Mus musculus: one gene and its partners. The protein of the gene in region 4 interacts with the protein of the main gene of each other region in a pairwise test. Links are inferred from orthologs where the notes say so. Each region holds a gene or a part of one and is shown on either strand. Other genes may lie near its edges. The genes, in order: Rgs2, Syt11, Rad1, Prkn, Gpr37, Snca and Tomm70a.

Evidence for each region.
Region 1: the proteins of Prkn (region 4) and Rgs2 interact in binary tests that used the Homo sapiens proteins (3 or more experiments, as listed by UniProt). The link is inferred for Mus musculus from reciprocal best matches to the Homo sapiens genes PRKN and RGS2.
Region 2: the proteins of Prkn (region 4) and Syt11 interact in binary tests that used the Homo sapiens proteins (3 or more experiments, as listed by UniProt). The link is inferred for Mus musculus from reciprocal best matches to the Homo sapiens genes PRKN and SYT11.
Region 3: the proteins of Prkn (region 4) and Rad1 interact in binary tests that used the Homo sapiens proteins (3 or more experiments, as listed by UniProt). The link is inferred for Mus musculus from reciprocal best matches to the Homo sapiens genes PRKN and RAD1.
Region 5: the proteins of Prkn (region 4) and Gpr37 interact in a two-hybrid assay, tested with the Homo sapiens proteins (2 studies listed by BioGRID). The link is inferred for Mus musculus from reciprocal best matches to the Homo sapiens genes PRKN and GPR37.
Region 6: the proteins of Prkn (region 4) and Snca interact in binary tests that used the Homo sapiens proteins (3 or more experiments, as listed by UniProt). The link is inferred for Mus musculus from reciprocal best matches to the Homo sapiens genes PRKN and SNCA.
Region 7: the proteins of Prkn (region 4) and Tomm70a come close enough for resonance energy transfer, tested with the Homo sapiens proteins (3 studies listed by BioGRID). The link is inferred for Mus musculus from reciprocal best matches to the Homo sapiens genes PRKN and TOMM70.

The regions. Positions count from the first base shown.
Region 1 is NC_000067.6:144,001,076-144,005,675, forward strand, and holds the start of Rgs2 (regulator of G-protein signaling 2), read right to left. Parts: upstream 3,075-4,600; 5' UTR 3,044-3,074; coding exon 2,934-3,043; intron 1,979-2,933; coding exon 1,877-1,978; intron 1,767-1,876; coding exon 1,705-1,766; intron 1,208-1,704; coding exon 1,041-1,207; intron 800-1,040; coding exon 605-799; 3' UTR 1-604. UniProt on the Homo sapiens protein: Regulates G protein-coupled receptor signaling cascades. Inhibits signal transduction by increasing the GTPase activity of G protein alpha subunits, thereby driving them into their inactive GDP-bound form.
Region 2 is NC_000069.6:88,758,857-88,762,709, reverse strand, and holds part of Syt11 (synaptotagmin-11), read left to right. Parts: intron 1-160; coding exon 161-984; intron 985-3,853. UniProt on the Homo sapiens protein: Synaptotagmin family member involved in vesicular and membrane trafficking which does not bind Ca(2+). Inhibits clathrin-mediated and bulk endocytosis, functions to ensure precision in vesicle retrieval.
Region 3 is NC_000081.6:10,484,730-10,489,017, reverse strand, and holds the start of Rad1 (cell cycle checkpoint protein RAD1), read right to left. Parts: upstream 3,001-4,288; 5' UTR 2,754-3,000; intron 2,566-2,753; 5' UTR 2,500-2,565; coding exon 2,302-2,499; intron 1,029-2,301; coding exon 920-1,028; intron 1-919. Other genes in the region: Brix1 (ribosome biogenesis protein BRX1 homolog), read left to right, coding at 3,125-3,283. UniProt on the Homo sapiens protein: Component of the 9-1-1 cell-cycle checkpoint response complex that plays a major role in DNA repair. The 9-1-1 complex is recruited to DNA lesion upon damage by the RAD17-replication factor C (RFC) clamp loader complex.
Region 4 is NC_000083.6:12,061,275-12,064,135, reverse strand, and holds the end of Prkn (E3 ubiquitin-protein ligase parkin), read right to left. Parts: intron 2,596-2,861; coding exon 2,483-2,595; 3' UTR 770-2,482; downstream 1-769. UniProt on the Homo sapiens protein: Functions within a multiprotein E3 ubiquitin ligase complex, catalyzing the covalent attachment of ubiquitin moieties onto substrate proteins. Substrates include SYT11 and VDAC1.
Region 5 is NC_000072.6:25,687,129-25,691,448, forward strand, and holds the start of Gpr37 (prosaposin receptor GPR37 precursor), read right to left. Parts: upstream 2,853-4,320; 5' UTR 1,969-2,852; coding exon 985-1,968; intron 1-984.
Region 6 is NC_000072.6:60,826,067-60,830,640, forward strand, and holds the start of Snca (alpha-synuclein), read right to left. Parts: upstream 2,939-4,574; 5' UTR 2,658-2,938; intron 1,562-2,657; 5' UTR 1,536-1,561; coding exon 1,415-1,535; intron 1-1,414. UniProt on the Homo sapiens protein: Neuronal protein that plays several roles in synaptic activity such as regulation of synaptic vesicle trafficking and subsequent neurotransmitter release.
Region 7 is NC_000082.6:57,148,957-57,152,809, reverse strand, and holds part of Tomm70a (mitochondrial import receptor subunit TOM70), read right to left. Parts: intron 2,991-3,853; coding exon 2,868-2,990; intron 228-2,867; coding exon 74-227; 3' UTR 1-73. UniProt on the Homo sapiens protein: Acts as a receptor of the preprotein translocase complex of the outer mitochondrial membrane (TOM complex). Recognizes and mediates the translocation of mitochondrial preproteins from the cytosol into the mitochondria in a chaperone dependent manner.

The DNA of each region.
Region 1 (4,600 bases), on a different chromosome or scaffold from region 4:
CACTCGTAACAGACGCTGGTTCTACAGCACGGCACAGCATTCGGTCCATCACACACACCATTTAACAACTCAAACATACTTCTCAGTTTCAGTGATACGTGACACACTAGTACTAATGATCTGTAGTCCTAAGAACGTCAACACCCTTGCACACAGTAAACATTGTAATGTTACTTAGTACTAAAATATTAAAACTAGAACTAACACCACTATGTGGTAACATGGACTAGTTTAGGGAAGGTGTACAGCCAACTAGCTAAGGCCACATAATCCCAGACCTATTGATTTTAAATGCTCCAACAACATTGCATCGGATCTTTCATCTCAAACTCTGCTTTCCCGACAAGGAGGAAGAACACATTCAGAGGCCTGTTCCCTCCCTCTGTTCTTCACACAGTGAGGGAAGCCGTTCTCACACAGAGCCTCTCCTAGGTTGCTGACTTCCTGATTCACTACCCAACATTGAATCAATAGTTCTGAGCGATGTTTTCCTAACACTCAGGCTGAATTCAAGGTCAGTTTTTTTTTTTTTTCTGGCAGGTCACAGCCTTTGCTCTTGGGAGACAGAATGGAATGTCCTTTGTGTGTGGGGGGACTCCTGGTCTCATGTAGCATGGGGCTCCGTGGTGATCTGTGGCTTTTTACATAAGTCCTGGTAGAATTCGGACTCCAAGAACCGAGGATAAGAATTGTTCTCCATCAAACTGTACACCCTCTTCTGAGCTGTGGTGAAGCAGCCACTTGTAGCCTCTTGGATATTTTGGGCAATCAGAGATTTCGTTTGGAAGTCTATGTTTATCTGAAAGAACAAAACAAAAGTCCATTTATTGGCTAGTCAACACTGCAGATTGATGCTTAATAATAAAACATAAAGGTGTAACTTGTGATCAGTTATAACTGTCAACTTTGGAGAAACTTAAATGTTAGGACAGCTGGGATGAGAGGCGCACAGGGCTCTTCTCACTTGTGCTTGAATGTGGTGTATTCAAGTCTCAGGTTTCAACAGTGTTGAAGGTGATCTGAGGCGCCTGTCTTCTTACCTCTTTGGGAGCTTCCTTCTCTATGAAGTCGGTATAGATTTTCCTTGCTTTTGAGGACAGTTTTTGGGGTGATTTGGTTTTTTTGAAGTCTTCACAAGCCAACCAGAATTCAATGTTTTCTTCACAGAACTCGGACTTTAAAAACGCCCTGAATGCAGCCAGCCCATCTGGAAGCACAGGAAAAGCAGCATGAATGGAACGACCGAATTATACACAGTTCTTCTGCACAAAATGATCAGTTTCCTAGACTTCATTCAAGCCTGTCATTCTCTAGGTCTGGCTCTTTAAGCACTAAGATGCCAGTAGGCAAAAATGCTTAAGTTTGTAGTCTGCAACAAAAGTATACTTAACTTCACTGGCACTGCAAGACCAGTGTTTATAGGCCATAAGTTCACTAGGAACTAGGGCTTTTGAAAATATTCTATGCAATGGAAAAGCTGACTCAACCACAGCCTGAGTAACTGGCATTTTAATTTTTAGGCTAACTTTTCTTCCCCACCTGAGGTGAATACCTCTTGCTTCCCCATGATTAAACCCAGTGATATAAGGGAAAGAAAAAGAGGCTTTGAACTGTCAGTGGTGGTAATGTCTAATGCACTTCTTGCAATCATTTCTAGGCTTTTAAAGATACTGGTGAGAGATCACATTCAAGAGGTGAACTTACATTTACTGGCCAGCAGTTCATCAAATGCTTCTGCCCAGAGCTGCGCTTCCTCAGGAGAAGGCCTGCAAGAGAAGTTCCGCAAATGAGCTCCCCAACACACATCAGTTCCCCTTCCCCTTTTGCTTGGCTTGGTTAGATATTCATCTCTGTAACTACAGGATCCGAAACTTACTTGATAAAAGTTTGCTGTTTGCTTTTCTTGCCAGTTTTGGGCTTCCCAGGAGCAGAGGAATTCTGCAAGAAGTAGCTCAAACGGGTCTTCCAATCCTTTAAGCTGGAAAAAAAAAGAGAGAAAAAAAAAATACTTCAAGTGGCAATTCTTGAACGGTCAAACTATCATCAGCTGCAGTAGCTACAAACAAAGCAGATGAGTCTCTCCCTCTTAGCTTTTAAACCCAGCACCTCAGAACACAGTTTTATCCATTCATCCGACTATAATGAGCTTTACAAGCAGGATAGGACTACATAACAGCCAGGGTATTTTAAATTTTCACCAGTTATTTCTGACCTAATAAACAGGTAGTGGATTTTCTGCATGGTTAAACTACAGCTTGCTGTCATTTTTCAATTGAGAACAGCAGTCTTGACCCAGCTGATGTTTCTTCCCTTTCTGCACTGGGGGTAGGAGGGTCTGCACTATGCCAGAGACAATGCATAGGTGTGTGTGTGTGTGTGTGTGTGTGTGTGTGTGTGTGTGTGTGTGTGTGATGGATTCCCTAGCTCCCCTCTGCGACCGCCCACAGTGCTTCTCCGCAGCAGATACTGCAGAGCAAATTACTCATTCCATAGTCGTGACTGGGTGAGCCCTACTTTATGATTTAAAAATGGATCTCATACATTGCGAATCAACTCAAACATCTCCACCCAGCAGCTATGCAAGCAGCTCAGAACTAACAATGCAACGTCCAGACGCCGGTGGACGTTATTCAGCTACAGGATTCTGATGCCACATTAAATGCAGAACAAAAAGCCAACCAGCCCTTCTCAGATCATCTACCGCCACCTTCTTCAACCATTTCCTATAGTTCCTAAACTCTCGGAGCTCACATAGAAAAAAAGCAAATACCACCATATCTAGCAAGCTAACCCCCCACCCCCCAAGCCCCCACACTTTCTCTGCAGAGGTGCAGACTAGAGAGCATTCAAAGCCGAGATCGAGGGAAGGTAGGTCCCTAGCAGCAAAGCCAGGCTGGGTATGAAGAGCTCTTCGGGAGACAGGGCATACTCACAGTGTCCGCTTCATTTTCTCCCGCTTCTCCTCGACCTTGGGGCCGTTGCCTGCACTCTTGTCCATGGGTACGCAGTCGTGCTGGACAGCCAGGAACATGGCACTTTGCATTCTCAGACTCCCGCGGCCACCGCAGCTGTTTGAGGCCGGGAGCGCGCCGCGGGCTTTTAAGGCGGGCGGCGGCATAGGGGCGGGACCTGGAGGCGTCAGCCACGCCCCAAGAGAGCGCGGATTGGCTCGCTGCAGACGGCACGAGGGCGGAGTCGCCCCGGCCTGTGGCAGTCACGGCAGCCCCCGAAGGGCCTGGAAGCGAGGGCGCTGTTGACGTAGGCGCCGCATCCTCGTGCGCACACAGGGTGGGAGGTGGCGGGCGGGGACACAGAGAGATTTGGTAGGCACTTCGGGCAGCCACGCGGTGAAGGGTCTCCGAGTTCTTGGCTTTTCCTTTACTGAAGACCGTACCTTTTACTCGTGTGCGTGTGTGTGTGTGTGTTCGCGCGCGCCCCACCTTTGTATCTATTGTTCATCCGGACACCCATAAACTGCAGCTGGGATGGGGAGAGCCCTGCTGGCTGCACTCAGCAACTCTACCTATTTTAGAGAAGGAAATCAAACAACTAGAAAAACCTGAAATATGGACTGTTGAGTAAGGTGCTGTAGCTCGCTCAGGCACCTTGGAATTCCTAAAGGGAATTCCACGCTACTCAGGGAGGAAGCGGGAGAAAGTTTCTATTAAAACCTGGTGTTTTAACCAGTTCTGCAGTTTTGATCTTTAAATGCATGGCTGCAGCAGGCTGTGGCTTTGCAGGGTCGTTCCCCAGGAGACCCGAGGGGCATCTCCTGCGGGGCACAGCAAAGATCAGAGAGATAGGTGAGAAATACAAAGGGAAACCCAGGATCTCGCAGTTCTGCTGCACACGGATCATGTGTAGTTTCAGAGCGTAAGGAATCAGGATTTCCTCATGAGTCATTCACGGTTGAACAGATTTAGGAATTACTAGATGTTCAACTGCTTAAGTTAAGGTGGCGGTGCAGTGGGGGCTAGAGCTAGATGTGAGAGCCGGTTGGTGTAAAGAATTTGTTTGGGTAAGCTTCATTTGTGAGAACCCCTGTCTCTGCTCCTGCAGGGTTTAATAAGCCCTGATTTGTAAGAACTAATACATGACTTCAACTACAAACTGATTCAGCTTCCTATGTTACCAGAATGATGCGGCGGAATACCTAAGTGGTTTTCCCATAAAGTCTGAACAGACTAACAAAAAGGTACGGCTTAGGCTCTAGTTATTCTGATTCATACTAGATCTACTAAAAGGAAAATGAAGACCCATTCTCAAACTGGGAACCAAGCAACACATTGTGACAAGCTGAGGGTAGTTTGAGTCAGAGATCAAAGTCTGCAGTCGCTAATGAAGAAGATTGGTATAGCCTTATTATAGAAGGAATATCATTTCGATTTTAGCAACAAATACTTGATAGCATGCTTATGAATCTGTAAGATGAAATTTTTAATAAGCCGAAAAGATCTGCACTGTTTCTACATTTGCTTTAATTTCTGACGATTTAATACATATTTATTAAGCTTGTGTTAATAAAATAGTGTTGCTCGTTAAAATATCTGTAATGTGCAGGCATAGTTGACTTTTTTTTAACAATACAAAACAGGACTTT
Region 2 (3,853 bases), on a different chromosome or scaffold from region 4:
AGGGTTTGGGTCACCTCCTGGGCAGTGAGCAGAAAAGCTCTAAAGCCCAGATGGGCTCCCACTGTGGGGCTGGAGTGAGGACTAGTTTGGCCCCAGGAGAGGCACACTCTTAACAAGAATGGAAATACTGTTTTGACATAACTCTGGTCTCTGTCTTCAGATGTGTCACCGGTAGCGGCTGGCCTCATCGGGGCCTCCGTGCTGGTGGTGTGTGTTTCAGTGACTGTCTTTGTGTGGACGTGCTGCCACCAGCAGGCAGAGAAGAAGCACAAGACCCCGCCATACAAGTTCATTCATATGCTGAAAGGCATTAGCATCTACCCAGAGACCCTCAGCAACAAGAAGAAAATCATCAAAGTTCGGAGAGACAAAGATGGCCCTCGGAGGGAAAGTGGACGAGGGAACCTGTTAATAAACGCGGAGTCTGGCCTGCTGAGCCACGACAAGGATCCCAGAGGGCCTAGCCCTGCATCTTGTATGGACCAGTTACCCATCAAAAGAGACTATGGGGAAGAACTGAGGAGCCCCATGACAAGCCTGACCCCTGGTGAGAGCAAAGCCACCTCCCCATCCTCGCCAGAGGAAGACGTGATGTTAGGCTCTCTTACCTTCTCCGTGGACTACAACTTTCCCAAGAAAGCTCTGGTGGTGACAATCCAAGAGGCTCACGGGCTGCCAGTGATGGATGACCAGACCCAGGGCTCCGATCCCTACATCAAAATGACCATTCTCCCGGACAAGCGGCATCGAGTGAAGACCCGAGTGCTTCGCAAGACGCTGGACCCGGTGTTCGATGAGACCTTCACCTTCTACGGCATCCCGTACAGCCAGCTGCAGGACCTGGTGCTGCATTTCCTGGTGCTCAGCTTTGATCGATTCTCTCGGGATGACGTCATCGGAGAGGTCATGGTGCCATTGGCTGGAGTGGACCCCAGCACAGGCAAGGTTCAGCTGACCAGGGACATCATCAAGAGGAACATTCAGGTGAGGAGGAGGGGTATGCAGGGGAGGGATGGTCGAAGGGGGCATGCCAGATCTCAGCGGAGTGAGAGGAGGGTCCGGAGAAAGCCGGTAACAAAGACATGTGACAGAGAAGTTACTGAGTTCTTAGCTAAGCTGTGCTCAAAGGATAACAGAAGGCCAGGCAGGTGTGTTCCTCTATGAAGCAAATTCCGGGAGATGAAAGGGCAAGTTGCTTCTAAGCTTACACTGAGTGCTTGGTATCCTAGTGCTACATCCAGCTTGTGTGGAACAGACTGGTCCACCAGCCCTGGACCCATTACAATTAAAGGATAAAGGTGTCAACCTGATATTCTAGAACCTGTGTTCTTCCTTGAGGGAGCATACATCTCACTGCTGAAAAAGTATAAAAATTAATTCACTTTTTCCTCAGCTTCCTTTCCTAGGTGGGTATGAATGTTATTATGATTTTTTTTTGACATGGGGGTCTCTCTCTATATATAGCCCTGGCTATCCTGGAACTCATTAATAGGCTGGTGTCAACTTCACAGAGATCTGCCTGCTTCTGCCTCCCAAGTGCTGGGATTAAAGGCATGCACCACCGCGCCCAAATTTTCTATTTTTTGTTTTTGTTTTTTGTTTGTTTATTTGAGATAGGGTTTCTATGTGTAGCCTAGAACTCACTCCATAGAGCAGGCTCAGTCAGAACTCCACCTGCCTCTGTCTCCAGTGCTGGGATTAAATGTGTGTGTCACCACTGCTCCACGAGTTTTGAGACAGGGTCTCGTGTAGACCAGACTGGCCTGGAACCTAAGCTGGATTTGTGCCCAAAGATGACCTTCAGCTCTGGCTCTCCCGGCCTCTGTTTCCCAAGTGCTGAGATTATAGGTGTGCCGTGGCTGTGTCTTCCCGCTTTCCTTTTTTTTTTTTGTTTTTGTTTTTGTTTTGTCTTGTTTTGTATGTCTTTTTTTACATTTGTATGTTATTTATTTGTAAGTTCCGGGGGGGTCACATGTGTGTCACAGCAAGTCTGTGGAGATGAGAGAACAACTGGCAGGAGTTGGTTTTTTTCTCTCCATTCAGATCAGGCTTGAGAGCAAGCACACTTTCCCACTGAGCCATCGCAATGGTCCCTGAGCATTTCTTTGAAAAATATTCTTAATATTATTTCTTTGGGGGTGTTCTTGTCTGTGGGTGTGTGAGTGTGCACGCCTGCCTGAGGACACCAGAGGGAGTTGGATTCCTTGGAGCTGGAGTTTAACTGTCTGATGTGGGTGCTCGGAACTGAACTGAGTCTCTGAGAACAACATGCGCTCTTAACCACCGAACCATCTCTCCAGCCCCTGTGTATATCTTTTTATAAGCATGCTATGACTTCAGTTTAGCGCAGCGCTTCATTTTCCAAGCCCTAACCTTTAACACAGACCTTTCGTCTACTCCTCTCCCTGCTTTGCATTGGGAGGAAGCTCAGGGCCTCCACACTGCCCTTTCTCCCTCTCCCCGTTCAGGAATATTACTCTGGAATTAACGTCCTGAGTTCAGAGCATATACAACCACCCCTCCAGAGCATATACAACCACCCCTCCTGGCAGTTCATCCATGGACGTTGGGGGACAGAACAGGGCTGCTGGTACACACTGTTGCTGGAATCGACTGCCTGACACCTCAGCGTCTGCGTCCCAGCTGCAAGACAGTGGGCACCTAACTCCTCTCAGTCTGTTCCCCTCAGCTGACAACACTGCCTCCCCCATTAGGTCACAATAAGGAACCAGGTAACGTGCCTGGCGTATTATTATCCTTAAGAAGTTCTCACCTTATTGGAGGAAAAAGACAGTTGTTGGCAGTGTTTGTTTGCAACCCAGAGGCCAAATGGTTGCTGGGAATTGAACTCAGGACCTTTGGAAGAATAGTCAGTGTTCTTAACCACTGAGCCATCTCTCCAGCCCTGAGACTTATTTTTTAATGTTGATCAAGAATCTGGTGGAACAGCCTGGCGTGGTGGGGCACGCCTTTAATCTCAGCACTCGGGAGGCAGAGGTTCTGAGTCCGAGGCCAGCCTGGTCTACAGAGTGAGTTCCAGGACAGCCAGGGCTACACAGAGAAACCCTGTCTCAAAAAAACCACACACACACAAAAAGAATCTGGTGGAACTGAAGATGACCTTGAACTCCTTGTTGTCCTCCCTGCATCCCATGCGCTAAATCCCATGGGGTTTAGGTGTGCACTAGCACACAGTGCCTGCAGTGCGAGAGTTAGACCCAGGACTCACATGTACGTGCAAGCATGCACGCTATCAATTGAGCTACATTTCCAGCACTTACTTTTATTGTTTTATTTCGTGACACATGGGGTCTTACTATGTAATTCTCAATGGCCTGGAGCTTAATACATAGACTGGGCTGGCCTAGAACTTACTATATAGCCTAGGCTGCCTTTTTTTTTTTTTAAGATATTTTCTTCATTTATATTTCAAATGCTATCCCCAAAGCCCCTTATACCCTCCCCCCACCCCCGCCCTGCTCCCCAACCCACCCACTCCCGCTTCCTGGCCCTGGCATTCCCCTGTACTGGGGCATATGATCTTCGCAAGACCAAGGGCCTCTCCTCCCATTGATTGCCGACTAGGCCATCTTCTGCTACATATGCAGCTAGAGACTCAACTCTGCCTAGGCTGCCTTTGAGTTTACAATAATCCTCCTGCTTTTGCTGACTGAGTACTGGAATCCTGTACTAGCCAATTCTGACTTTGAGAACTGGGCATCATGGCAGAGGCTTGAAATCCCAGCTCTTGGTCGGTGAGATGAGGAGGCTTAGGAGTTCAAGGTCATCCTCAGCTCTCGGAAGCTGAATGTCAACCGAGGCTGCAGGAAACTGTCTCAGAAACACACACGCA
Region 3 (4,288 bases), on a different chromosome or scaffold from region 4:
TGTGTTAGACTGGATAAAAAGAAGACAGCCACCTAAGCTCTTCTCTGCTTCCTGCCCGTGGACACAATGCCACCAGCCGCCTTGTGCTGTTGCTTCGCTTCCAGGTTCATCCTTGCCACATGGACTACACACTCCAACTGTGAGCCTAATTAATAAACCCTAAAACTGCTTTGTCAGTCATTCTTTTCACAGCAAAAAGGAAGGTAAGGTAATAACATACCTTGCCTATTAGGATGACCTAAAATGAATAAATACCTTCACAAATATGTAAAGAACTAAAACAAACATTCAACTTGTAGTTTAAATATTTATGTCCTATGATTATAACAACTAGGAGGAAAATGAATTGGAAATCAGTTTCCCTTTATTCTTTAAAAATTTAATTCATATATACAAATGCACCCCCTAATTATTAGGGCCTAATACTTCCCTCCCTAGGACTCCTCAACTTGTTCCAAAGAAATGACTTTTCCCTCCCCTAGCTGCCATCAGCTGCCAAAAGCATCTCTACTAGGGGTGGGGCCTCACTAGTCCTTCCCTGAGAAGTTAGTTTTCTAACAAAATACTGTTGGGCTTGGGGCCGTAGCTCAGCTGTAGTCGAGTGCTTGGCTAACACGTATGAAGTGCCAGTTTCAATCCCCAACACCACATAAAACTATAAATGGTTGCCTATCTCTATAATCTCATCACTTGAGGCAAGGGCAGGAAGATAAATTCCAGGTTATCCTCAGCTACACAGGGAGCTCAAGGCCAGTCTGGGATACATAAGACTCTGTTCCAAAAAAAAAGATTAAAAAAAATTAAAAAGCTTATATTCTAGAAACCTTCCTGTATGTATTTTCTATTTTTTTAACCATAATAAATACTTTTATGCCACAACAATAGTAGTAGCAGTAGTTGTAGTAGTAAAATAGTTCACCTGGTGTAGGACTTGATCCAAAAATAGATAAACAGTCTAAAAGGATAGTTAAGTTAATTCGAAAAGTAACAGATTCTTCCTGAATGACAAATTCCTGAAACACGTCAGCCTATGAGAAAGCAAACATGAAAACATGAAAGTGGATTATATTAAAGAATGAAAATTCACACGTCTATATTTCACTTTATGCTTAGAAAGTAACAATACTCTGCCAACTCCATGAGAGTATTTCTCATTCCCAACTAAGACATACTAAGTTTTCAACCTTTCCCCACTTGAATACTACTGAATGGTTTAATCATTAAACGTGGAACACTAAGTGATGGCTCATCAGTTAAGAATACTTGCTAATCTTCTAGAAGACACAGGTTTAATTTCCAGCACCCACACGGTGACTAAAATCCTTTTGTAACCATTTTCAGGGGATCCAACACCCCCTTCACAGGAACTTGGCAGGAACCAGGTACACGCCTTTTGGAGACATTCATGCAGGCAAAACACTCATACACACGAAATTAAGAAGCCAGGAGCTGGAGGTTGGCTCAGAGGTTAAGAGCACTGACTGCTCTTCCAGAGGTAGAGGTCAATTCCCAGCAACCACATGGCTCACCACTATGTGTAATGGGTTCTGATGCCCTCTTCTGGTCTGTCTGAAGACAATGTACTCACATACATAAAATAAACCTTTCTAAAAATATTAAAAAGCCAAACACCACAAAGTTACCACCCCCTAGTAAGGGCTCTTCATCTTCATTTCTGTATCTAAATTTAACACCTATGTGAACTTGCCCTAACTCTGTCTTGTGCCTATCCCTTAAAGCTAAAGTCACTTAAGGATAGGATAATTCAGTGTCAGGCAGTGGTGGTACATGCCTTTAATCCCAGCACTTGGGAGGCAGAGGCAAGGCAGAAGCAGGCGGATCTCCAAGAACTTGAAGCCAGTCTGGTCTATAAACCAAGTTCCAGGTAACCAGGGTTACATGTTAGACTCTATCTCCGGGGGAAAATGCTCCGAGGAAAAATTACAGCCAATAAGAGGAAAAACTAAAACGTGCATGACAATAATACTGTAAAGAGTAAATAGGGTTCTCGCCCTAATTCAATCAGTTGTAAGACTACTGAAAATTAAATCTGGTGCCACTATGTCAAACGAGAAAGTGTCTATATGTGTAAAGATTAAAAGAGGAAAATGGTGAGAAGAGTCATTAATAAACTATCACTAGTAATCGTTATCTGTGTGAGACAAGATGGGGAAAGTATTTGTTGGCAGGAAAGAAAAAAAAGTAACGACATTTTGTTCACTAACTTGAGTTTTGTTGAATTAAGTCCTTCCAAATTCATTCATTAGGGAATGCTTTAAAAATGTCTTCACTCCCCCATACCTGAATAAAGGCATTTGCTTGCACACACTTTGCATTCTCCACTGTAACCTTGATTCCGTTTTTGGTAGCAAAACACGTGGCGTGTTCTCTGAAATGAATGGCTTTCAAGACAGTGGAGAGATTCCTAACGTTGTCAAGGCTGGCCACTAAGCAGTACTGTTCGTACTCCTCTTCATTGTACTGGGTTAGGAGAGGCATGGATGGTCCACGGTACCGTCGGCTCCGAGAAGAAGGATGCTCCTCTTCCGGAAGATGTGTGAAAACCTGAGACACGGAACAACAAACCTCGCTATCAGTGCGGACAGGACTGGCGACCTCAACCCGAGCCGAAATCGAGATCATTCTATTTTCATGTCTCAAAACTACGGTATTCTACACTGAATGCAGTTCACAGGGTAGCTCTAAAAGGCGCGGGTAACCGGGCTTGCTTAGCACCTCTGAGCGCCACCAACCTGGCTTGCAGGAGAACGCGACTTCGGCCCGCTCGCCGCACAGCGGCCACTAAGGGAGCCCCTGGCGCCAGGCTGTGGGTGACGTCCGACCCCTCAAAGCCCCTGCCACCCCAGCCCCAAGAACACCCTGAGCGTCCAAAAAGCTAGCAAGCCAGGCAAACAGCTCCCGCCACCGTTCAGATACGCAACCACCTAGGCCACCGTCACCACCGAGCCGCCGTGTGCCTAGAGAGTCTACCTCGAGACCGGAAGCGAGCGCCTTGGAGCCGGATGACTTAACTCACAGCCTAACGTGGGCTACCATAGAGATCGGAAGGCAGAGCGAGCGGCAGAACCGGAAGTGCAGGCAGCGACCGACGCGGCGAGGCGAGATGGCGGCGACCAAGAGAAAGCGGCGTGGAGGCTTGGAGGTTCAAGCGAAGAAGCCAAAAAGGAGCTCGAAAGATGCCGGGCAGCCAGCTAAGCAGGCCGATGTGGCCAAAGAGGCGGAGGAGGAAAATAGAGATCGTATTCCAGGTCCGGTTTGCAAGGTAAGAGGCCCGACTCCCGAAGTTGGAGTCGGCGCTCTGACCCACCTTTGGGCCACCGAAGCAGCGAAGTGACTCCAGTCAAAACTTGACAGGATCTTATGCTTAGGGTTCCCTGGAGGGACTGGACAGTGTTTATGTCTAATTTTCGTGTAGATGGCCTTCTTCCTGGAGACAGCAGTTCGTAGACCCTAAGCCAGTTAACAGGGAGTTGATTTAATGGGTGTTTAGTTCCAGGATCCTTGTCTTCCAGTTACTGACCCCCACCCCGCCTCCCCAGAGTAATGGTTTTCCTTTGTCTTTTTTTTTTTTTTTTCTCAGAGTCTTTTTGGTGTAACTATAAATTCCTTCTGTTTTGGTCCGTATCACATAGGATTACCGAAGTATGTATGTATGTATGTATGTATTTATTTATTTATTTGCCAAGCCTTTAAAGCTACAGTCCTGTGAGTCTGTGACTCTGACTTGTTTGGTTAGATCTTTTAACTCAAGGGTCCTAGACCACTAGTTTTACTGTGTCAAACAGTGCGACACACTTATACCAAGATGAGCTTCCCTGGCCTTAGCATCTAGGAAATAATGAACAAGAGTTCCTCCAGAAATATTGGAGTTTAGAAGGAAAGAAGGCTTCATAGAAAACTGTGTGTCTCTTCTAAAGGCCAGCAGGTTCTTGTTGGAGTTACTTTCAGTCACCTGGAAACTCCTTAAGGAAGGTATCTGTATGGAGGAAATCTTGCCTCAGACTTGTTAGTCCTTTGTGCTTAGTGTAGTACTCAAGTACTGAGTGAGGCAATGTGGACATTGTACCCCACTTTTAATTAACAGTTAAATCTTGTACCTTTGTCTGAAAGGATAAAAGTGACTTTTGAGGAAAATTAGCTGGTTTTCAATAAAAGTTAGTGCGCTCCCTCTTAGGAGCTGGACATGAAACATGAAGGGAACTAATCTGAATCACACTATGATATATGAATTGGAATTAATGAGACAATTACTACTATTAGGGTGGTA
Region 4 (2,861 bases):
AGGATTATAGGTGTGTGTTGAAACATCTGCTTTTTTATTTGGGTTCTGGAAGACTGAACTCTCGTCCTCATAACCCTTAGAGTAACCACATTACTGTATTAGGCCATCTCCCTGGACCCAAGCGTCTTCCTGTCTCTCTTCAAAATATCTATCTATCTATCTATCTATCTATCTATCTATCTATCTATCTATCTATCTATCATCTATAGTGTGTGTGTGTGTGTGTGTGTTTTCGCGTGCACGCGTGCTCGCGTGCTCAAACCCACCTGCCTGAGTACCATGCGCCTGAAGGAGCCCATAGAAATAAGAAGAGGGCATCAAATTCCCTGGAATGGGAGTTTTAGGCAGTTGCAAGCTACCCTCTGGGTACTTTCAAGCTGAACTCTGGTCCTCTGCCAAAGCAGCAAGTGCTCTTAACCTCTAAGTCATCTCTCCAGACTCTCCAGACCCAGTTTCCCTTGTTAACACTTATCTGGGCAAGTCTGTGAGCAAGGCAAGAAAGTGACTGCTAGGTTTCAGAATGAGATCTTGTTTTGAAATACTGATAATTAGGAGAGCAGAGCCCCCAAGGTTAATTATGGAAAGAAAAGAGACCAATTCCCCCCCCCCCCCAGTGGCTGATGCTTCCAAGTTCTCGTTTAGATGATCCAGAGATGCCCCTTCTATAAACACATATGAGAGGTCACAGAGAAATGCGGCCCATCTTCCCTCCCACATCTCCAAAATTGATCAGAAATGCAATCCCAAGGATAGGTACAAACACGCTTTTGATTCTTTCATTGACAGTCTGGGTCTTTATTGATTGACAGTCTGGGTACCACCACACACACAGACTTCAGGTATTTCTTAATACACTTCACAGAAAGAGAAAGATTGCTTTGCAGAGGTTTGATTTCCACTCTTCTGACATCCACTTTTATCCCACTATTCACACTCACACAATGCAGGCTGTGATTCATGCTCACACACTGTGGATGCCTGTCTTTTGGGTTATTTTAAGAATCACTATTGTATTCTGAAGAAAACATATGCATCTGTTAGGAAGGAAAAGGGACCATACTGGAGAGCCACAGAGCTTCAGGGAGTCCCTTTACCCAAAGCAGAACAGCAAACATTGTCCTGGCTTCCCAATGCGATTACGTCACACGGGTGTGGAAGGAGGCAGAGGCAAGCACAATGATGGAAAAAAAATAGTGATGGGTGACATCAGACTCCTGACTGCTGCTTGACAGGTGGTCTTTTCATTTTGGGAGCTGGCTGGGTGGAGTCTAGGGCCACTGGGACAAAAGTGTGAACTTAGGCCAGCTGGCCTTTCCTCACACCACAAGATAACATCATTTCTATATGATTTTTAGCTCTAGGCCTCAAGTTTGGTAGCCCCACCACCACCAAAAAAAAAAAAAAAAAAAAAGCAAAAGCAAAACAAATAAAAAACAGGAAAAAGAAAAGAAAACCTTGAAAGATTAACACTTGAGTGTGATGCATGTTGATCTGAAGGCTATCTTGGTGTGTGTGTATTGCCCTGTCTGTAGGACCACTGGGTGGATGGGGCTCCCTGGGGCTTAACAGCAGAGGAGGGAGCAGATATGCAGAGGTGTCCCCACTTGTGGTGGAAGGGGTCAGGCATACTCTCATTCAGATGGTCGAGGGATGCTCCTTCTATAAACATTGTGTTTCTTGACCCTGTTGTTAGCATTGGCGCAGCATCATGGGATTGTCTCTTAAAAACGCCCCCTTTATAGGCACTTTCTCTGTTAAATTCACAGTGAAGCTAAACTTCCAGGCTGCAGTAGGAATACTCCAAACCAAATTGCAGACTTTGTTATCTTTTCAGGGGGAAAAAAAGATCATTTCTTTCTAAAGTTGCAGATAATGAAACGAACGGAAGTAGGTTTGGCTTCTGAGTCCTCCCTGCGATTTAAGCAGTCTGCCATCCAATTAGCTTTCCTAGGTTCTCACTTGGTTGATAAGCTGATTAGTACACAGAGGGGTTGTAATCTCATCAGCACCATTTGTAAAGATAGGATTTGGGGGGATAAACAAATAGTTTTGACTACTGCAGGGGGCCCTTTGGGAATAGATGATTACTACATGAGAGCAGCGTTCCTCAGATCTCAAGTGTGCTTCTGAGAATCCTCAGAGGTGTTACTTACCCAGGGCGTGGCAACAACCCTGGAAAACACTTCCCACCTCACTCATGGCTTCTACAGAATCCAAACCAAAGGTGCACCCTCATCTAAGCTCTGACATTCGAGTGAGCCAGAGGCTGAAAGTGCCTCCTCCCCCTGGGGCCAGCGGGTGCTGTGGTTTTCTGTGGGTGCCCTGGAAAGGATCTAGGGGCTGCTTCTGTAATCTGCAGCCTGTGTTTGTGTGTGCGCATTTATGTGCTTATATGCATCGAGAAGAAGAAATGGCTAAGGAAGGTAGGAATCTTCGGAGTTTCCCTTGAGGTTGTGCGTCCAGGGCCAAGTGACATCTCTCTCTACACGTCAAACCAGTGATCTCCCATGCAGGCTCGGTTCCACTCACAGCCACAGTTCCAGCACCACTCCAGCTTGCACTGGGGCTGAGGACACTTCATGTGCATACATCCTCCTGTGGGGACAAAGGACATAGACGCTGTGGGTTTGTAACAAATACGGGCGAGCCCTTGTTCCCCGTGCCAACCTGCCATTCCAGAAACAGCTCTTGTAGTGAATAACAACCTCAAGCAATGAGAGCAGAGAGACTGACCCAGAGTGAACAACCAGACAGCAGCGGAGGCAGCTCCTGGGTCCGGATGCTCTAGAGAAATGGAACAAATCCCATCTGCATATCTGAGGTTCTCTTCTTTTCCCTCATTTAGACACAAATTGTTCACA
Region 5 (4,320 bases), on a different chromosome or scaffold from region 4:
GTGGGTTCCAAGAGCTGGTGTTTAAAGAGAAGCCAATTTACAGAGCAAATTCCTACTGCTAGAGCAACGACGGGTACAGTAGCTCTAGCATGAAGCAGTAAAACCTTGTCTTGTTCAAACAATTTTCATCTCAAAGTTTGGAAGCTAACTCCTTTTTTACTTCAGAATTGTTCTTATGTTACCTATAAATCATTTTAAAATTGTTTATTCTTCACAGCCATAGCAGTGGCAAATTTGTGTCCTATGCTCTACAAATGTTAGATTATAGGAGACTGGACTAAGTCTTATTTTTGTTTAAGTTTATCCAGAAAACTGAACTGTTTCTAAAAGTTAACAAGGATCCACAAAGAAGTCCTAACAATGTAGAGGAAACAATAAGGTAGATATCTTAACCAATTTAAACTAATTTGGAGGTTCCTAATATATCATGAGGCCAACTACAAAAACTAAAATTGATGTTCTTTTATACATAAAATATAACCTCAGCTTTGGTAGTTAAAAATGAGAAAAAGCTCAATTGCCTCTCTTGGGGATGGCATGGTGGAATCACGATGAAATACTAGAACTTTAGTAAATGAATATTAATGATCCCTCCCCCACCCCACCCCCAGTACTACGTTCCCATAAAGACAACCATGGGCTGGCCATTATTTAACCCAGGATACCAAGTCAAAAATATCATATCCAGAGAAAAGCTGTACATATAGAACTATCACACACACACACACACACACACACACACACACACACGCACGCACGCACGCACACACACGCACACACACACACACACACACACACACACACACCAGGCTAGGAGCAATGGAGTTTGAAGATGGTTTAGCAAAGCTGCTTTCTTTCATACACACACGTGCTTGCATAAGTGACTGGGGGAAAGAGAAGGGATTCAGAGAAAGAAGCAAAGAGTCCCACAGGTAGGTGCTTATTCTCCGGAAACAGAAAAAGGCAGTAGCTAGAGGTCATTACCTCGATATAGGGCACGATCTTGCAGGAGAAATCTTCCAAAAGCCACTTCTTAGTCAACTCATGGAAGATGACCAGGGGGAGGCAGAAGAAGATGATGAGAAAGTCCCAGAAAGCCAGGTTGGCCAAGAGAGAATTGGAGATGCTCCTCATGTAGTAATTGTGACACACGATGCACATCACTGCCAAGTTGCCAATAATGCCGGTCCCAAAGATCACCACAGATAAGCACATGACCGCATAGGCTCCGTAGGATTCTTGGGTCAATGGGTAGAAGGGGTTCTTCAATCTCACGCGCCGCGTGGTGTTTCCACGGCGTGGACCCCCTTGGTCAGGAACCCAGTCATCTGCAGACCCGTTTTGCGGTAGTGCCCTGCCTGGAGGAGCAAGGGTCCTTCCTTCGTGTACTGCTGAAGGCCTGTGTTGGGAATCCTGGAGTTGTCCAGTTCTTCGTGGCCAGTAAAAAAGATCTCTGGGTTCCGTTTTCACACTGTGCTCCTGCCTGCTCTGGGGAATCCCATCGCGCTTGGAACTCATCTCTCCCCCCTCCGATGTCGGAAAGAAGAGTTGGGGATCCGTGGGGTCCCTTCTCCTCAAATGCCCGGATGGTTCTTTACCCTGGGCACTTTTCCATCTCCAGGCACTTGGTGGCTTGGTTGGAGGTCCCAAGGGCCCAGCAGCCGCCGCTTCTTCAATCACACCTGTGTCACCGCCCCTGGGTGGTGGGAGGTCCCAAGAGGTCGCCCCTCTCACCTCTGCTTCCAGTTTCTCTCTGGGCACATGGACTCGCAGAGCGTCTTTTGCCGAATTCCCAGGTCCACGGGCATCCCTGCTGCGGCGTTGGATCAGTGGGGAACAGCTCTCCCCCAGACAAGTTCCATTCCTGGGCTCAGGGACAAAGCTCAGGGCAGCAGAGACAGAAACCTTAAACAGCAGAAGGAGCAGCAGCCGCGATGTGCGCGAGAGAGGCGCGCCCCGGGCTGGCATGGCTCGGCGAGGGCGCACCTACTAGCCTGGCTCTAGCTTAGCACCGACACCTGCTGCCAAACTTGGTGCAGAGAGTTAGGCACATGTCACATACTCACCGCTGGGTAGAGGATGGGAGCAGAAGATTGCTGGGAGGGAACAGGGCGCTTGGGGAAGGACGGTGTCATCAACACATCCCTACAATCCTTCCACGTTTCATGTTCTGAGCATTTCCCAGCCAAATCTAATCCAAGCTCGGTGCACCCGAAGGTTCCCAGGGAAATAACAGATCCAAGAGGCTGACCTTGAAAAGTTGCGAACACCACCTGATTGTTCCCTAATGTTGCGACTGGGCGCAGCCTGGAGGAAGCCCCGCGCTCCTCCCAGCCTTTGGGTGGTGGCTGTCTTCTTGGTAACAGTTGCTCTGCTATTTACATCCTTTCCATACTGCTTTATCCAGTCGCTAGTAGAGGTCTCTAGAGAAAAAGAAAAACAAGTCCGCTCCACTAGGGGACTGGCTGTCACAATCCCACTCTCGGCTGGCGGGGGGGTGGGGGGTGGGGACCCTTGCAAACAAGGCACCACCGGAGCACAGAGGAAACTCTTGCTTCGTTTAACTCCGACGACTTTCAAAGGGACTGTTGCCAAGGAGAAGCCAGATTCGAAACCCGCGGCCACTGTCAAAGTTGCTGCTCCTTCAGTTCAAAGTTGACAAGTGGATGGCGCCAGCGGCTGCGCCTAGTGCACGGGCTGAGAAGGCGTGGAGTGGAGCGAGAGGGAGGAGAGGGCGCTGCTGTTTTGTGCACAGTGCTGTGGGCTGCAGGAGCTTGTCACTGCCACCACCATCGCAACCCGGGTGGAGAGCGTGGTGCCTGGAACCGCTGCTGGCGGGCGGAGCGGTGCATGGTGGACAGGGGAGGTGGCCCGGCCTCTCCCAGCGGCTCAGCCACTGCGCGGGCTTCACTCCAGGTCGCCTCCCTCTCGTCCTCCTTCTAGCAGAGCATCTGGTTTGTGGAGAGACGGGATCCCCTGGTGGTTTTACCACACACTAAACCCACACACGTTTCATTCAAGGCGTTCGCAGTAGCTTTCAATAGGAAGCTAGGAGCGACCCGGGAACAAGGGCGGAGGCGCCGAATCTGCACGGCTAAAGGCAAGGAGGACGTGAACTCCATGGGTTATTGCCCTAGATAGTCCAACCAACCCGACCTAATCTGTCACCACTAAGGAGGGGGTTGGATCTCAGGACCCCCGGTGCAGGCGGGGATCCCTGGAGGAGAAGGTAGAAAGGGCAAGCCTCTTGAGATCTGCAACAATTGGTAGCAACTGGTGCGCATGCTCAGGCTTCAGACTCCCCAGGGAATAGTGACACATTCACAGTCTTAGATTCCCCAGAGCAGAGTCAGAAAAGAAACAGACTTCATTGGTTTCATTCACTCGGTAAGAGAGTAGATTGTAAGGTAAGAAGGATCCAGGTGTCCCGTTACCTTTAACATTGACTTTGAAAGCATCCTACCAGGAGGTGGAGTTAGAGCTGATCACAGGGAGCAGGAGGAACGCAGCAACCTTGATATGTTCAGAACTGAGAACTGAGGAGGACCGAACTCCCATCACGATGCCCATGCCTTTCCAATTTTTATATACACACAACCCCGTGTAGCAATCTTGGTATAGCTGAGAAAACAGACAAATATCGGACCAAATTTTTAAAAGGGGAAGAAATAAACATGTGAGATAGAGACAAAGGCAACAACAGAAGAATTATCTAAGGGCACAATAGAAAATACAGTAAAAATACAATTGCAGTAAAGAGCCTCAAACTATCTACGTCCTAAGCACTGTCATTTGTGAATATGTGTTTACATAGCAAAAGGAACTCTACAGTGAGACTTACTTAAATATCTGGAGATGAAAAGAGTGTCACGGGTTATAAATTTGTGCACACACAAGGGACCCAAGAAGAAAAAGGTAGAGAGAGATGAGAGGGTAGTAGACTATGAAAATCTTTATAATTTTTTTTCTTGTGTTGAGGTTCAAATGGGCAGATGCACAGACACCAGACATAACAACAAAACTGACAAGGGTCAAAAAAAACAAAAAACTATTTTGGAAAAAGTTAGACAAAAATTAAAATACGGGATTTCACCAAAGGTTAAGTGTCAAATGACATGTCACAGGGAGGTAGTGTTCAGCACCAGCTTGTTGGATGACTGAAAATGGAAACAGATAAAATTACTCTTCTTTTAAAGTAGAAAAAATGAAAAGAGAAGAAAATCCCATTTGCAACGGTATTTGTCAATACCTCAAAATACTGCAGATTTATATCCTGTGCGTTCAAAACATAAGATCAAGAATAACCCTTGTGAAGCCCTT
Region 6 (4,574 bases), on a different chromosome or scaffold from region 4:
ATTCATGAAAATGTTTACAAGTATCAATTCCTCACTGATCGTTTGGAGGGTCAGCATGGCTTCCCCCGATTGGTACTCTGGGTAGCATCTGCATCACTTTTGCCACCTGTTCTGCTCCTTTTCAGCCTGAATGTTTACCCTGAGTCTTCCACCAAGAGAGATGCCCTCCTAAGAAGGTGGAAACAGTGTTCACAGGAGGAAAGAGAGGTAGATGAACCCTGCAACTGTGCTCCCATGTGCACCTGTGTCTCTGCTGGGGATAAGCATGTGTGCATGGGTGTCTATTCCTTCCATGAAAGTACTAGAAGGGATTTGTAAAGTTACAGCCAATTTAACACAGGGAAAGACAGAGAAAGGGAGTGTTGGCCTTCCTTTCAATGTGTACAGTCAGGCAGAAAATGGCACTAAATATCAACCTCTTACTGTTCAGCATGTATGATCTCTGACAGGTGAACTAAACAAACATTTCTGAAGTTCCTTAAGTCCCGCTGTTCCCACTGACCAAGTGATCCCTAAAAGGAGATCCACCAAAGAAGACTTGCTTTCTTTCTTCTATTTGAGGGTCAAAGGAGTTGTATTTTCACAGTTGTAAAATAAAATTATGCAAAACTATTGTTTAAAGCTTTATAATTTATTAAACTTAGCAGGTATTACCTATAGTGATGATGAAAGAAATCAAAGTCCCATGAGTACTTGTGGCTCACTTTCTTTCTTTCTTTCTTTCTTTCTTTCTTTCTTTCTTTCTTTCTTTCTCTTTCTTTCTTTCTTTCTTCCTTCCTTCCTTCCTTCCTTTATTTCTTTATTTCTTTGTGTGTGTGTGTGAGTGTGTGTGTGTGTGTATGTGTGTGTGTGTATGTGTGTATGTGTGTATGTGTGTGTGTAAGAGAGAGTGTGTGTGTGTGTATTGTGTGTGTGTGTGAGTGTGTGTGTGTGTGAGAGAGAGAGAGAGAGAGAGAGAGAGAGAGAGAGAGTGTGAGTGTGTGTGTGTGTGTGTGTGTGTGTGTGTGTGTGTTCTCACATAGTTCAGGCTGGCATCAAATTCTCTGTGTAGCTGAAGATGACCATCAACTCCTGGTCCTTGGGCCTCCACTTCCCAAATGCCACCAGGCTTACTGCCATACATGTCTTTGATTCATAAGCATATTCTTGGTTATTTTTCATGGGTTGCCAATTTTTAAAATTCAGTGTATTCATACACAGAAACAGAAAACCAAATAAAAAACCTACATAAATAACAAGATTAATGAATCTAAGGACAGAAAACATTGTCCCTGTTTGTTTCTGAGAGCTAATATGCAGGTTCATATTCTCTCACCTCCACACAGCTGTCACTCTTCTGAGAAGCTGTGATGCACACGAATCAGACACCACACACCAGCCACCCCAATTCATTAGTCACAGTGTCACTACCTACCTACATAGAGGACTCCCTCTTTTGTCTTTCCAGCTGCCTCTGCCACACCCTGCTTGGTTTTCTCAGCAGCAGCCACAACTCCCTCCTTGGCCTTTGAAAGTCCTTTCATGAACACATCCATGGCTAAAGATGTATTTTTGCTCCACACTAGAGAATACAGAATACATTTTGAATTAGAAAATTTGGGTAAAAAAATAATAATAATAAGGTTTAAAACAGCTAGAGAAAGAAAGGAAATTGAGGGGGAAAAATCAGTATGCCTTCCCCCAAGTCCTGGTGTAAGTGTGATTTCTTGGGTGGGGGGATGTGGGGGTGCTGGGCACAGTGTTGATTGATTGTTGAGTTATGTCACTCAATACTAGGAAAAAGTCATGTCACTTAAGGATGGGATGGATCTAGTTTGATCATTCGACTGCTCTTACATACATATTTCAGAAGAAGAGTTGCAGAAGGGGAGGTGGGCATCCTCTACCCCATCAAGTTCCCAGGGCCCAAAGGTTACATTCAAAGTAAAAAGACTATCTAGAAAAGGAACATGGGAGGTGGGCGTACAGAGATGGAGTGGGGGCAAGAGGATAAAAGACCCAGAGAGGAGTCAGTCTTTGGAGAAGGAAGGGAGGGGAACTGTTTAATCTAGAAGTAGGGAACTGCTTGAAGCCCAGCCTTTCTAATCTTGCAAGACCTTCTGCCCACCACTAGCTCTTTGCCTGCTATCTGCCCAGAGCAGGCGCTGTCCATACACTTGAGCAGTCTCACTTGAGCACCACCCAACCAAGAAGCTCTGTCCTCAGCTGGAATCCTCTAGAAGACCCTGCACCCCATGCTCATTAACCCTTTATCACCTGTTGCCTACTGTCCTCTGCACTTCTATTAATCATGGGCCAAAGGCACCCTTCTTCCTCTACAGAAAGAAGCTGAAATGCCTGGGGTTGGAGCATGAAAGTTGGATGCTCAAATTCCACCCAATGCCCAGCACTAAGCTTCCACCATCCAGCACTCAACATGAAACACCCTAGCGTTTCCGCTTGAAAAAGCAGATGCCACAGGCAACCTGGCCTTTCCCTCGGGCTTTGACAGGATGGAAGGGCATGTCTCCAGCGAAAGGAAAGCCGAGTGATGTACTTTCCACGCACTGGCCCAGTCCCCACCGCCAAAGCAGCTGTAGTTGGTCTTCTCTAGGCGTCCCGGCTCTTTGCTCCGGCTAGCTAAGATCCCCAGAGCTGCCCCATCTACAGGTACTTACCGGCTCCCTAGGCTTCTGAAGAACTCCGATTCTTCCTGTTTTCCCCAATCTAATTTCAATGAAAGAGGCAAGGGCAGGCAGGGGCAGGGGGAACACCTGCTGGTCTCCTGCCGTCTGCTGCCTGCTGCCGGGCGCTCTGGCTCCCTGGCTCCTTCACGTCGCCCCCGCAGCTGATTTGTCAGCGCCTCTCCCCGCCCCTCGCCTGCCTCGTGCCTTCGCTCCTCTTCCTAGGGAGGGGACGGGTTGGTTGGAGGTGCGGTGCGTGAGGGCTGTGGGTATCTGGAGCACATTCCCCCGGATGGAAGGAAGAGAGGACGGCCTGAGCCTCCCCTCGAGTTCAGAGGGCCCTCAGTTTTATCGTGGCTGAACTTGAGCTGGCGCCTCTCCTGCCCCACCCCCCTCCTTCCCTGCCTCAGTCTGTTCCCAGTTCCTCTAGGCGACCCCCTCCTCCAGGACGAGCCCAGATGCCACACCAGAGAGCTGGACCGCCTGAAATGGTCTGTGTGCGGAGCCAGGCAATGGAGAGGGAGCACACACCCTTGGGGTTGCTTTTGTTCACACAGCTTAAGATTTCCATTTGTTTTTACCCCGGAGGAGTCTAAAAGGGTTCTGGGTGCAAAGGGGAGCCGACTAAGGAAGAGTTACAGGTCGAAGAAGCAGGGGGAGGCTCAGCAAATCCTCATTCCCACTCCACTATCACCATTTTCTTTTCCACCAATCAGCGGCTGCCAGACGCTGATTTTTTTTTCCCCATCTGTGGAGCAAGGAATAAATATCCCCCAACCGTCGAAAACCAGCTGCCTCAAGGCTTTTTTGCACTTGAGAAAGTGGCTTACTATAGAGTTACAGGATAGGAAGGTAGCGGCTGTGGGATTCACCCTCTGGGACCATCACAGGCAGTTTCTTCCTTAGTCCCTACTTAATGGCAGATTTTGCACACCTCTTACCTTTCCGACTTCTGGCTGCGTGGAGCTCCAGCGAACAGACTCTTCTTCCAATCCAAGCACACGCGCAGATAGATGCACAGGCTTTGAGACAATTTCTGTGTTACTTAACACGTTCCCACTTCTCTCTGAGATGAGCAGAATACCACTGTTTTATAGCAGAGTGGATTTGAGTGCCAAGCTCCTCCCCCAGCAGAGTGCCTTGCTTTTCCTTTCTTGTATTCTGAACTTGTGTTGGGCACTGGAAGCTAAATCAAGCGTTTACTGTATTAAAAGGGGGGGGGGGTCGTAGGAGGGAATGCTTTCTCTGATCCTTGAAGTCAGTTGACTTCTGAATCCTGAAAAATAAATAAATAAATAAATAAATAAATAAATAAATTGAAGTCTAAAAAAGCATTTGAAACAAGGGACAAGCAGCTTGTTTGGCATGCTATAAAGGAAGGAGGCAGATAAAACCACAAATGCAGAGTACAAGTAATGTGACAGAAATTAACTGTTTAAGCAACGCCTTCAATTCTTATTCCCTTTAAAAATCAACCTTCCTACACACTAGTGGCACATACCATGTTTACTTGAAATTAAAGGAAAAGGTGGCACCTCTGCAGTAGATAGGGTTAGATCCTGGGCTCTAGCATCCCCATCCTGCCAAGTTAGGACACCTGTCCTCAACCAGCCAGGTAAAGTGACATATAAATAGTGAAATACTAGAAATGGGAGTAATTCAATGTGGCCACGTTAAGAAGAGGAACAGAGGTTTAGTGCCCCAAGTTCATCTTGTTTAGATAGAGGTCAGGATGTATGTATGACTAAGCAGTAGGTCAAAGTGTGCTTCCAGCTACTGTCTCTGTCTCCGCTCCAGTCTCTTCTGCAAGGAGGTCTGACTAAGTATCTGATATCTGATATTTCTTCCTGGGAGACATGCTCACCCTGTAATTGACACAAGGCTTCAGCCTTTTCCTTCCCTCAGCAAATT
Region 7 (3,853 bases), on a different chromosome or scaffold from region 4:
TGACAGTGTCTTCAGGGTTGAGTTGAAGAGGGGGTAAACTTCTTTGAAAAGAGTCAGTCTGTTTCCCCTGTGTTTATAATGTCGGCGGTTTTAATCCGTATTTCTTTGCTACTTCTGTCTGGGCATGGGCAGCATCACAAAGTGAATACAGATGAGCCATCTCCATTTCCGACTTGGCCAAGTTGATAGCTTTGTTGAACATGTCAATGGCTTTCTCCATGTTTCCTCTAAAAGAGCAAAAATTCAAAGATTCTTCAACAAGCAGTTCTTAATAACCAATAAAGTTTAACTGTGCTGCATGAAGCCTTCGATTGTAATTCTAATAAAACGTTTCTTTCATAATAAAAAGGCCTAGCACAGCATACTGAAAACACTAATGAATCCACCTTACACCCCAATATATTCATCTCCTCCTCTCCTCCCAGTCCCTCCTCCAACAGCTCTTCCCCTACTCCCTCTCCCCTTCTCCTCTGAGAAGGGGAAGCCCCTGTGAATATCCGTCCACCCTGGCACGTCACGTCTGCAGGGGTAGGCACATCCTCTCTCACTGAGGCCATCATGGCAGCATATTCTGCCTACATTATCTTGAATCCTTTGTTAAATATGGGAAGACTAGGGTAACTAAGTTGGTTACTTAAAAACCCTAATTTTCCTGGTTCCTAAGCCTGTATGTTTCTGGTCAAATATGAGGCTTCTGGCAATACAGAGCATTAGTAGCCCTCAAACGCTTGCCCCTTAAAGGACTGACTCCATACTCTTACTACCTTATCTCTCACCCCAAATGCCATGCAGTCAAAGGTCAATCCCAGTTCCCTGACCATGTCAACCCTGATCACAAAGAGCCTCAGGTTATTGTCTCTGTTTAACTCTGTTCAAATCCCTACCTTTGAGGGCCCACTTCAAATATAGTATTGTATACTCTACACCTAAGAACTAAATACTTCATTCCCAATATTCCTCACAGTTCTCTTGGGCCCATATACATAGGGAGACGACTTTACTAGCTCATTCGTACGTATCTTTCAGTTCAAGCAGCTAAGTACAAAGGTTAGTAATTGCTATCTGTTTTTGAATAAATGGATCAACATGCTATAGCTAATAAAACTTTCCTCTTACATTTAAGAGTGACTAAGTTATATAGTTACTAAGAAACAACTGATTAAGGGAAGTAGTGTTATCTATGTATGCAAGCATGTGCATAATACTTAACTAAATGCGTGTAATCCTGCAACTAAGATCAAAGTCAAGCCTAGTTAACTCAGTATCACTAAAGGTGGCCCATATTTAACTTCCTATAGTATATGGCTAACACAATGAACTATTTTTGGTTTATATGGATCTGTTTTGATAATAGCTAGATGACCTGCAAAATATTAGTATAACCAGCAATGCCAATCACTCAACTTTAAAGTAGGATTTAGATGAACATTTTTTTTTTTGAGACAAGATTTCTAGCCCAACCTTACCTAAAACTCCCTATGTAGCTCAAGAGAACCTTGAACTTCTCTGATTCTCCTGCATAACCTCCAGAGTTAGTTTAGAATCTGTCGCGTGGCCTGTTGTAGTGCTGGCGAATGAAATCAGGCTAGCTAAGCACTCTATCCACGAGGCCTGATCCCCAGACCTACAACTGACCTTTTTTTTTTTTTTTAAATTTCACATGCACCAGTGTTTTGCCTGCATGTGTGTCTATATGAGTGTGTCAGATCCCCTAGAACTGGAGTTATAGACAGCTGTGAGCTGCCATGTGGGTGCTGGGAACTGAACCCAGGTCCTCTGGAAAAGCAGCTCGTACTCTAACTACTGAACCATCTCTCCAGCCCCTAAAATGGCTCTTACAGTACAAAGAAAATTCCCTCAACCCTTGTCCTCTTAAGGTAGCCTCTATGAATACTCTAAATGTCAAGTGTTTTTATATGCACTAATCTAAGAAGAATCTAGAGCTTTGCTCAAGCATAATTATGAACCACTGTTCTATCAGTAAAAGAATTATTTGTAATGACACATTAACATAAGAAATGGTATTTGTATATACCTGCCATCAGAAGAATCACATTTTTTTCGTCAGTCTTTTGGAGGAAAGAGAGCCACAGGAAGAGCAGACAATAGGTAATTAAGAGGACTTATCCTGGATCTTGACAAGTGATAGTGGCAAGATTAGTGCCTGACATCAGCAAAGTATGGACTCAAGTCTTGTCCTCAGTCATGTGTCACAGTGTGACTTTGTTAGCCTAACTGGCCTGGGCATTAGTTTCTGTACACCTCAATTTTATCTTGGGATCACTATAAAGATGAGTTTAGGCCAACAGAATTGCGATCTGGAAGAGACTGAAGACCAGTACTTAAGGGGCATAGTCTACTACATATATAGTAGCCAACATTAAATGTAGACCGTAAGGGCGACTGTGGGTAAATATTTACACTAAACAAGTTACAGGAAATCAGACTTGTTTAAAAAAAGTCCAACTAAACCGGAGGTTTCATGAAAATTCAGCGGCTCAGCTTCTTGGCTGGTTGCTTCTTTGTAGCGGGATCCAGATTCCAATACAGCTTAGCTATCTGTTCCTTGTTATCTGACACTGACTAAACCATACTTCAGGTATTTCTGGCCTTCCCACAGGAAGGATAAACATGAAAAAGAAAATCATACACAATAAAGACCTAGTTTCACCTTGTAAGGCACAAGCCGGATAGCTTTTATAAGTGTAAGTAAAATGAGGCAAATCCGAATTCCCTAATTTTTAGGGAAGCCTGCATCAAAAGTACAGCAAGCTTTAAAACTGTAATAGATATTGGTTTACAAGCCAACATACGTAATGAGAACCAAAGACAATATTACGTCTCTAAGAAGCAGCTTGATTAGTTACCTCTGCACTTCAATAGTCCCCATGGTCTCATATGCAAAGTCACATTTGTTGTCAATTTCAATAGCCTTGCTGATAAGCTCCAAACCTTTATCCAAATCTTGCTTCCACTGAAGTTGAAGTAAACTGGATTGGAGTAGGGTGGGGGAGACAGTTAGACGGACCCAATACTGATAAACATATAAACGTATGATTTGGGCTCTGTTCTCAATAAACAAAACAATTTATAAGGAAAACAAAGACTACAGCAGATCACACTGAAGGCTTCTGGTCTCTATTTCTGATGTTGAGTGCCTGGCCACAGATTTGTAAGTCAGGACTCAGTATTCCTTTTCTCTATTTCTAAGAAACAGAGACAACTGATTTTTGTATGCAGATACCAACCCTGTTTCATTCCCTTCCAACTCCTGCCCTAGAACCAGTCTGACTCCTGGGAGCAAGACCTAGAGAAGACTTTTGTGGGTTACAGTCTCTCTCTCTCTTTTTTTTGGTCTCTTTTCTACTATGCTAGTGGCACTGGCTGATTTCTAGTTGTTTACTCAGTCTGTTGTTTCAGTTGTGTTTGGCTCTATTTCATGGAAATAAAAAGTATATTAAACCCATCATGAAAAAATTGTTCTGAAAATTAAGGCATCTTCTCCTTTTACTCTGATAATATAAATTACTTTATCGTTATAAAAATAAAATTGTTGCATTATTTTCAATTTACTGACTATATTATAAATTCTGAATATCATACAATCATTTCAAAATATTAAATGTAAAAAAATACTTGTTTTACAGCCTTTATATTTTTCCCCATTTATGTGCATGTTTGGTTCTGTGAATGTATGGTGCATACATTCAAGGGTTAGTAGAGACCAAAAGAGGGTCTCAGATCCCCTGGAACTGGATCGAGTCACAGGCGGTTCTGAGTTGCCTGACAACACGGATGCTGAAAACTCAATATGGGTCCTCTAGACAATAAGGCCTGCTCTTAGTTGTTGAGC